Arabidopsis thaliana: one gene and its partner. The protein of the gene in region 1 interacts with the protein of each later gene in a biochemical or structural test. Each region holds a gene or a part of one and is shown on either strand. Other genes may lie near its edges.

Region 1 (3,757 bases):
GAAATAAGACTTGATAGATACCTCTATTTTCAAGATCGAGCAGCGTCATCTTCAATTCATCGGCCGCCACTGCAAAAGAGGGAGGAACATCTCTAGGAATTTGTTCTCGTTTGTCTTCTTGCTCTAGTATTTCTACACATAGTCGGCCTTTGAGAGAATGCTTGCATTGCTCCGGGATATTATTACATTCAACCGCCATAGTGGCTTGTTTTGCGATCATGAGTGCGGTTCTACCTTCCAAAGTTGCTTCTGATGCACTTGCACCTTTTTCCAATAGAGATAGTATCAATTGTGGCTCCTTCCGCATCGCAGCAACATGAAGCACCGTATATCCCCTCGGATTCCTATGGTTGACATCGGCAAGATCAAGTTTTAAAAGATCTGTTGCGGTCTTCACATTGCAATATGCAACAGCGAAATGAAGAGCACACGCATCATCTAGATTGGTGTGATCCTCTTTCAAAAGCAACTTGACTAACTCAATATCATCCGAGTCAAGTGCCTTATGTACATTCGAGACATGTTTCTTTACTTTAGGTACCTCCAAACCAAGCTCTTTACGTCTATCAATTATCTCTTTAACAAGCTCTTCCGGCAATGACTTTTCAAGACTAACCATATCTACATTAGACTTGACAATAATCTCTTTACATCTATCCAATAGCTTCATACAAGCTTTACCACATATATTAGCAAGCTTGAGTATAACCAATGTGTCCTCTATAACAACTTTGTCTACAACGTCCAATAAGTGCCTCTGAAATACAAATACAAGTACTCAAGTAAGAACATATTCATGAATGTGTAACCATAGCTTAATGCAGATGGTGTTTTACCTGATAGAGAGTAATTAATTCAGGGATCTTGAAGATGAAAGCCAAATAGAGAACCTCCAACATGAAATCCACCGCCGGCCGGCAAGCCACGTGGCAGCAATTCTCGTCTGCGCATTCAGAAACTCCTTTAGGCGGCGGTCTCACTCTGCTGCTGTAAACATAAGCCAAAACAGTCACAACCGAATCGAAACCGACTTCGTAATCCTTGGCAATCTCCTTAAGCTCGAGCTTCACGGCGGCGGTGTTGTTGGAGTCTTTCTCCTTCTTAGCGGCGGCTAAAGCGCTCTTGAAGAAAGAGCTTCTCGCTGACAAAACGCACCGGTGGAAAGAAACTTCCCGGCCGTCGGAGAGAACAAGCTTAGCGTCGCTGTAGAAATCATCCGGCGAGTCAAAGACGGATTCGAAGCTGTTGGAGAGCAATTGCAGAGCAGATACATCAGGTCCGGTGAGTACTTGTTCGGCGGCCAGATAAACAATAGAGGAGTCGGTGTTATCGGTAGCGACGAAACTAGTGCTGCTGATTTCATAAGAATCGGCGAATCCATCAATGGTGGTGTCCATCAACAGGTTCCGATGAATTGAAATTCACAAATTAAAGAGATCTCTGCTAATCAACGAAGAGACCTTATCAACTGGATTTGGTTAAAGATCGAAGATAACCATTGACGAGCAGAGCCAAGTCAAGTCAACGAGAGTGGTGGTGAGATATGAAGAAGCATCCTCGTCCCACGGTTTACATTTCACCAAAACCGGTAAATTTCCAGGAAAGGAATCTTTGTCAGAGATCTTTTTTAAAAAGATATAACAGGAAGCTAAACCGGTTCGGGTTATAAATGTTAGTATTTATACCGGAGACATTTTGTGTTGCTAATTTTTGTATATGAGAAGTTCAATCCGGTTCGGTAAGCCCCTGAACCAAACTAGATTTGGAGATGATATAAATATATAAAATTTATTTTTCATCCGGTTCGTTATTTTCATATAAATATATAAATATTATTTTTTAAATTTAAGAATTAGATTTACATGTGAAAGTTACATTTCTGTTTATTTTCTTTGAAGTAAAATGATAAAGGGAACGTATATTAAGTTTCATGCTTTATTCACATAAGTTTTGTAATGTATATTATATTTTTCGTTTATTGAAAAAGTAATTTTCAGTGTTCAGCATGTTTACACTATAATTAAATCAAGTCGAATATTTCCTGGAACTATTCTCCTTGTTCTATAGCAAATGAAAACGCTCTTCACAACAAAATCATTATAGATATAGGAATAAATTACATTAAAAACATGAAAGTCATAATGAATATATTTTTTTAATTAGGATTTGATTTAAAAACAATTATTGTATACATATAAAAGACTTCTTTAGTTATTTGCCTTCAACTTCTCGTTCTGAATCATGCGATAAATCAGCTTTTTCAATAACTACGACGTAAAAGCAAATTCATAACACGTCTAAACAAATTTGGCTCATCCTTCACTTGATTGGTGTTTTCCGGACTCGATGTTGCTGGAAACTGAGAAGAAGAAGGAATCTGCATAATCACCTCTTGGTTCCTCACCGGTAGACTCATTTTGTTGGATCGAAAACGATCGAGATCAGAAAATGAAAAGATAGGTTAAAGATGCCTATGAATACAACAACGTAAGATTATGTTGAATAAACAGAGTACTTTATATAGGAGTTATAATAAGGTAAATAAATTATTGCTTTCCGCGTTTTTTACTTTTGTATTTCTTAAATGATAAGTTAAATTAGGATAAGATTTGTATGATTTTAAGTAAATTTACAATAACTCTCTATAACTCAATAGCATCACATATTTAATTAATTTTACTAATTATCTTTTGAACAATTTTATGAAATAGTTTTCTTTTAATTAATTTTTTAAAATGATATATTATAAAATTTAATTGAATCAATCTGATATAATTTTTTTATCTTCTACCATCTATTATAGTTGATAAATATTGTGATAAACTTTAGATAAACACCCAATTGCCAAATATTTAATAAATTTTGTGTACCATGCGTTTTTTTTGGAGAATATATATACGTGGACAGCATACCGTACATATATTGTATAAAAGCTTATAAAACATAGATACGGGTTATATTGGTAAGCTATAAATATATGTAAACAATAGTAAGATATTACGTGTTGTGTCTAAATATGTGTTGCTTTAGATATTATTGTATATCTAATATATTAAAATATCTTTTATTAACTAATATATTATTTAAGAGAGAAAATTGGGACACTATTTTCTATACAGTAACTGTTTTCAACTATAAACAGGAACCCTTGATATAATAAAATAACTAGCCAAAAAATCAGATTAAATATTCATAAAACAATGTTTGGTATTATTACATAAACCTAAGAAACAAAATTCAATATTCCTTTTTACCTTATAAAAAACAATTAAACATCACTAGATATATTTATGCCCCACAATGAGCGAGCCAATTGAGACTTGAGACTTGAGATCCTTGTCAACTACGTTTGCATTTGTCGGCCCATTTTTTTTATTTTTTTTTTAAAGTGTCGGCCCGTTGCTTCTTCCGTTCAGATCAACCCTCTCGTAATCAGAACAAAACGGAAAACAAACGAAAGAACAATCAGATCCCTCTTTTTTTGCATAAACTAAATTCAACTTCTCTGCGTTTATGTTGTAGAGGCAACCACGATCACTACTACGAAACAATACAACGTCGTTGCTTGGAGTCCACGTAATCAAATCTACTCCAATGCTTTTAATATCTTTCACTTTAACCCACGACTTTTCAAAACTGCTCTTTAAAACCCATAACTCGTGAACATCTTCTTGATCTTTGTTTGTCCACTGACGAATAGCACCTAGCTTCCCTTCGTATCTGACTAATCCTGAGAAAACATCAGAGTTCGGAGTAT
Region 2 (3,757 bases), on another chromosome or scaffold:
TCTTATTTCTATTGATTTTTATTTTGTTATTCTGTATACCTAACGGTAAATTTCTTGTTTCTAGGGCGTCTTCATTTCAGGCACAGGAGACCAGGCCCATTCTACTGGTGGAAATGGTTGGTTGCTTATTCTCCATTAGTTTTAATTATGTTTATTTTTTGGCTTCTAATTTGTGTATAAGTTAAGTTCATATATCAACTTCCTGTTGACTTGGTGTAGACTGATCAATTAGTACATCATATCTCATCCCATTACAATACACTGGGTTATCAGAGTCAGTGGCAGACTGACATGGTTCTGATAGCAAAAACTGTTATTCTAATTAGCACTGGTGTAGATTTAGATTTACAAGATGACGAATCTCATGGGTTTGTTTTGATCATGTATAAATTTTTTAATTCAGGTGCTTTGGCGTTTGATGCTGAACATTCACGGTGGTTGGAAGAAAAGAACAAGCAAATGAACGAGCTGAGGTCTGCTCTGAATGCGCATGCAGGTGATTCTGAGCTTCGAATAATAGTCGATGGTGTGATGGCTCACTATGAGGAGCTTTTCAGGATAAAGAGCAATGCAGCTAAGAATGATGTCTTTCACTTGCTATCTGGCATGTGGAAAACACCAGCTGAGAGATGTTTCTTGTGGCTCGGTGGATTTCGTTCATCCGAACTTCTAAAGGTGAGGTCAAATTTCACTTTGTCTTCACCGATTGCATCTGTTTCTACATAGAACATAAAAAGAATGGTCATAGGGAAAAATGTGTTGAAACAGCTTCTGGCGAATCAGTTGGAGCCAATGACAGAGAGACAGTTGATGGGCATAAATAACCTGCAACAGACATCGCAGCAGGCTGAAGATGCTTTGTCTCAAGGGATGGAGAGCTTACAACAGTCACTAGCTGATACTTTATCGAGCGGGACTCTTGGTTCAAGTTCATCAGGGAATGTCGCAAGCTACATGGGTCAGATGGCCATGGCAATGGGAAAGTTAGGTACACTCGAAGGATTTATCCGCCAGGTACAACACTTGTGATGTTTTGAGATGATATCTTAGTTAAGAGTATATATATATATCAATAGGTTAATAATCGTCTCTTGGTTGGTGGTGGCAGGCTGATAATTTGAGACTACAAACATTGCAACAGATGATAAGAGTATTAACAACGAGACAGTCAGCACGTGCTCTACTTGCAATACACGATTACTTCTCACGGCTACGAGCTCTAAGCTCCTTATGGCTTGCTCGACCCAGAGAGTGAAACTGTATTTTGGTCACATGTCAGCTGTACAAAATCCATATGGACACAAAACCAGGAGAGACTATTAATCAACACTTGTCAGATTCTTCTTACCAAATCCATCAACAAATAAGCAAATTTCTGGGAAACAAAAGACTCTTTGTATGTAGGTTTCTTCTACATGGTTGTGGTAATTCATGTTGTTTTAGTTGTAGTCATCAGTTTTTAATTTAGCATTTGAAAAGTTCAATGTTGTTTATATAGCATCTTCGATTATCTTAGAAAGGTTATTGAATTTTGTTTTTTTTTGTTACTTTTGTGTGTGGTAAAGGTGTTTTAACCTTGCAACTTCTGTACTGTAATCATTTAACAATATTAAGATGTTCTATTTGAGTTTTGTAGTTTCATCGCTTGTGTCTTAAATCTTATTTAGTGAGGATTCTAATGTAAACTTCCAAGAGATGATGAAAATGAATTTACATTCAAAGTAAGTGTGATAGATTTTTTTGTAATAAAAAAAGGGACATGTCATTGTCAAAACCAAGAATTATTTTGTTTTTAGAAAAAAGAGAGTGTTGCAATTTTCAGAGGACTTTTTAACCCTCAGCATCTAGAGGTCCACCATCACTTGAGTTTCGTCTTCCATTCCTGTTTTTTTTCAGAGACCGGCAAAATAAAAAAAAAGAAGATCGTACAACTAAAAATACCTCAAAGAAGGAAGATACAAAAGTAGTAACCTTTGTTGGTGATTGATACTATATCTGTTGTGGGTTTTAGACAAAGACCACGTCTTTGCAGTTGTAGATTGGAATTTTCCGGATCTTTCTCTAAATCGCTTTTTCTCCGAGCAACTTTTGTTTGGGGTTAAGCTCAAAGAATCCGTTCTTTTCAGGTGAGTCTCTTCTTCAATAGTCTTAGGGGTTTTAGTTCTTCAGTTTTCTTATTCTGCCTCTGCTTTCATGATTGTTTTTTTCCATTGAAGATTTTGACCTTTGAGGGAATTTTTTCCTTTTTGCTTTATGTACGTGTTAAGGATCCAAAATCATTATTTCGGACACTATTTAAACGAATTGGTTGAGATTTGATGTTATGAAGCTTGAATTTTGTGTCTTTTACTCTGTTTCCGGGGCTAGTTTGCTAAATTCTGAATCTTTTAGCTCTACTTCAGTCTAATGTTCAGATTAGTTACTGTTTCACCTCACGGAGAGCTTTACGCTATAGAAGTCCGTTGGTTCTCATTTCAAATCATATAGGCGTGCTTATTGTTTACTTTGATTCTCTGGCTTTGAATACTCAAAGTTCTTGAGGTCATTGGTTGCTTCACAGCTATGTGTTAAGTTTAGTGGTTTGGATCTTTATGTTAGTGTGACATAAATAGGGTGATGTATCGTATCATTGTTTCCACTTTCTTGATTCTACTTAATGCGTTGGTTTTTGGCTTAAAAATATGTTTTCTTTCTCTATAACTCTAATCTTTTGTTTATGTTTACCATCTTACTTTTGACAGTCTTTACTCCATCTAGGGTACCACGATTGGATCGGTTTTTATCTGATGATTTAGTAACAGAGATTTTGAAGAAAAAGAAAAATGGGAGATACTAGTCCAAGAACATCAGTCTCAACAGATGGAGACACTGATCATAATAACCTAATGGTTAGCTTGTAAAATTTCTAGGTCTTGCTTCTTTATGTTCATTAAATGGCCAAAGTTTTGAAATAAAACAGTATTTATGCAGTTCGATGAAGGGCATTTGGGTATCGGTGCTTCTGATTCTAGTGACCGTTCAAAGAGTAAAATGGATCAAAAGGTGAATATAAACATCTCTATTTTGCAAGAGTTTGGTTTTTGTCATTGAGCCTTTCAGTTATGTTTTTCTTGTTTGTTGTTGTAATCAACAGACGCTTCGTAGGCTCGCTCAAAACCGTGAGGCTGCAAGGAAAAGCAGATTGAGGAAGAAAGTATGCTTAGATTTATGTTCATAGTTTCAATTCTTTTATGTTTTTTACAAGCATAGCTATTTGCAAACTCTAAGATGTTTGTTGGTTACTGCACTTTTAGGCATATGTTCAGCAGCTAGAGAACAGTCGATTGAAGCTAACACAACTTGAGCAGGAGCTACAAAGAGCACGGCAACAGGTTTTAACTTTGTTCAGCTATATTTGTGTAGATATTTGCTCTGTTGCATACATAACATTTTTCTCTTAATCTTAGGGTGTCTTTATCTCAAGCTCTGGAGACCAAGCCCATTCTACCGCTGGAGATGGTGAGTTAGCTGAATCATAATTCATAACCATTTATTGATGATGTGGTTGAAAATTTTAGTTTTGTTGGTTATAAAGTAGAGCAAGCACTAGTTTGGTTGATGGTGTTGATCACTTTCTTGTGAGATAATTTTTTATGAATGCTTCTCTTTTACAGGGGCAATGGCATTTGATGTAGAATACAGACGATGGCAGGAAGATAAAAACAGACAGATGAAGGAGCTGAGTTCTGCTATAGATTCTCACGCGACTGATTCTGAG

What was found. The genes of interacting proteins can lie anywhere in the genome.
Region 2: the proteins of NPR1 (region 1) and OBF5 form a complex in vitro, tested with the Arabidopsis thaliana proteins (2 studies listed by BioGRID).

What each region holds. Positions count from the first base shown.
Region 1 is NC_003070.9:23,854,011-23,857,767, forward strand, and holds the start of NPR1 (regulatory protein (NPR1)), read right to left. Parts: upstream 1,649-3,757; 5' UTR 1,398-1,648; coding exon 837-1,397; intron 758-836; coding exon 22-757; intron 1-21. Other genes in the region: AT1G64290 (F-box protein-like protein), read right to left, coding at 3,384-3,757. UniProt on the Arabidopsis thaliana protein: Salicylic acid (SA)-binding substrate-specific adapter of an E3 ubiquitin-protein ligase complex (CUL3-RBX1-BTB) which mediates the ubiquitination and subsequent proteasomal degradation of target proteins.
Region 2 is NC_003076.8:2,152,920-2,156,676, forward strand, and holds the start of OBF5 (OCS-element binding factor 5), read left to right. Parts: upstream 1-1,826; 5' UTR 1,827-2,126; intron 2,127-2,741; exon of another isoform or gene 2,742-2,757; 5' UTR 2,758-2,822; coding exon 2,823-2,888; intron 2,889-2,959; exon of another isoform or gene 2,960-2,964; coding exon of another isoform or gene 2,965-2,970; coding exon 2,971-3,042; intron 3,043-3,133; coding exon 3,134-3,193; intron 3,194-3,293; coding exon 3,294-3,371; intron 3,372-3,446; coding exon 3,447-3,498; intron 3,499-3,653; coding exon 3,654-3,757. Other genes in the region: AHBP-1B (bZIP transcription factor family protein), read left to right, coding at 65-116, 404-675, 769-1,014, 1,109-1,255.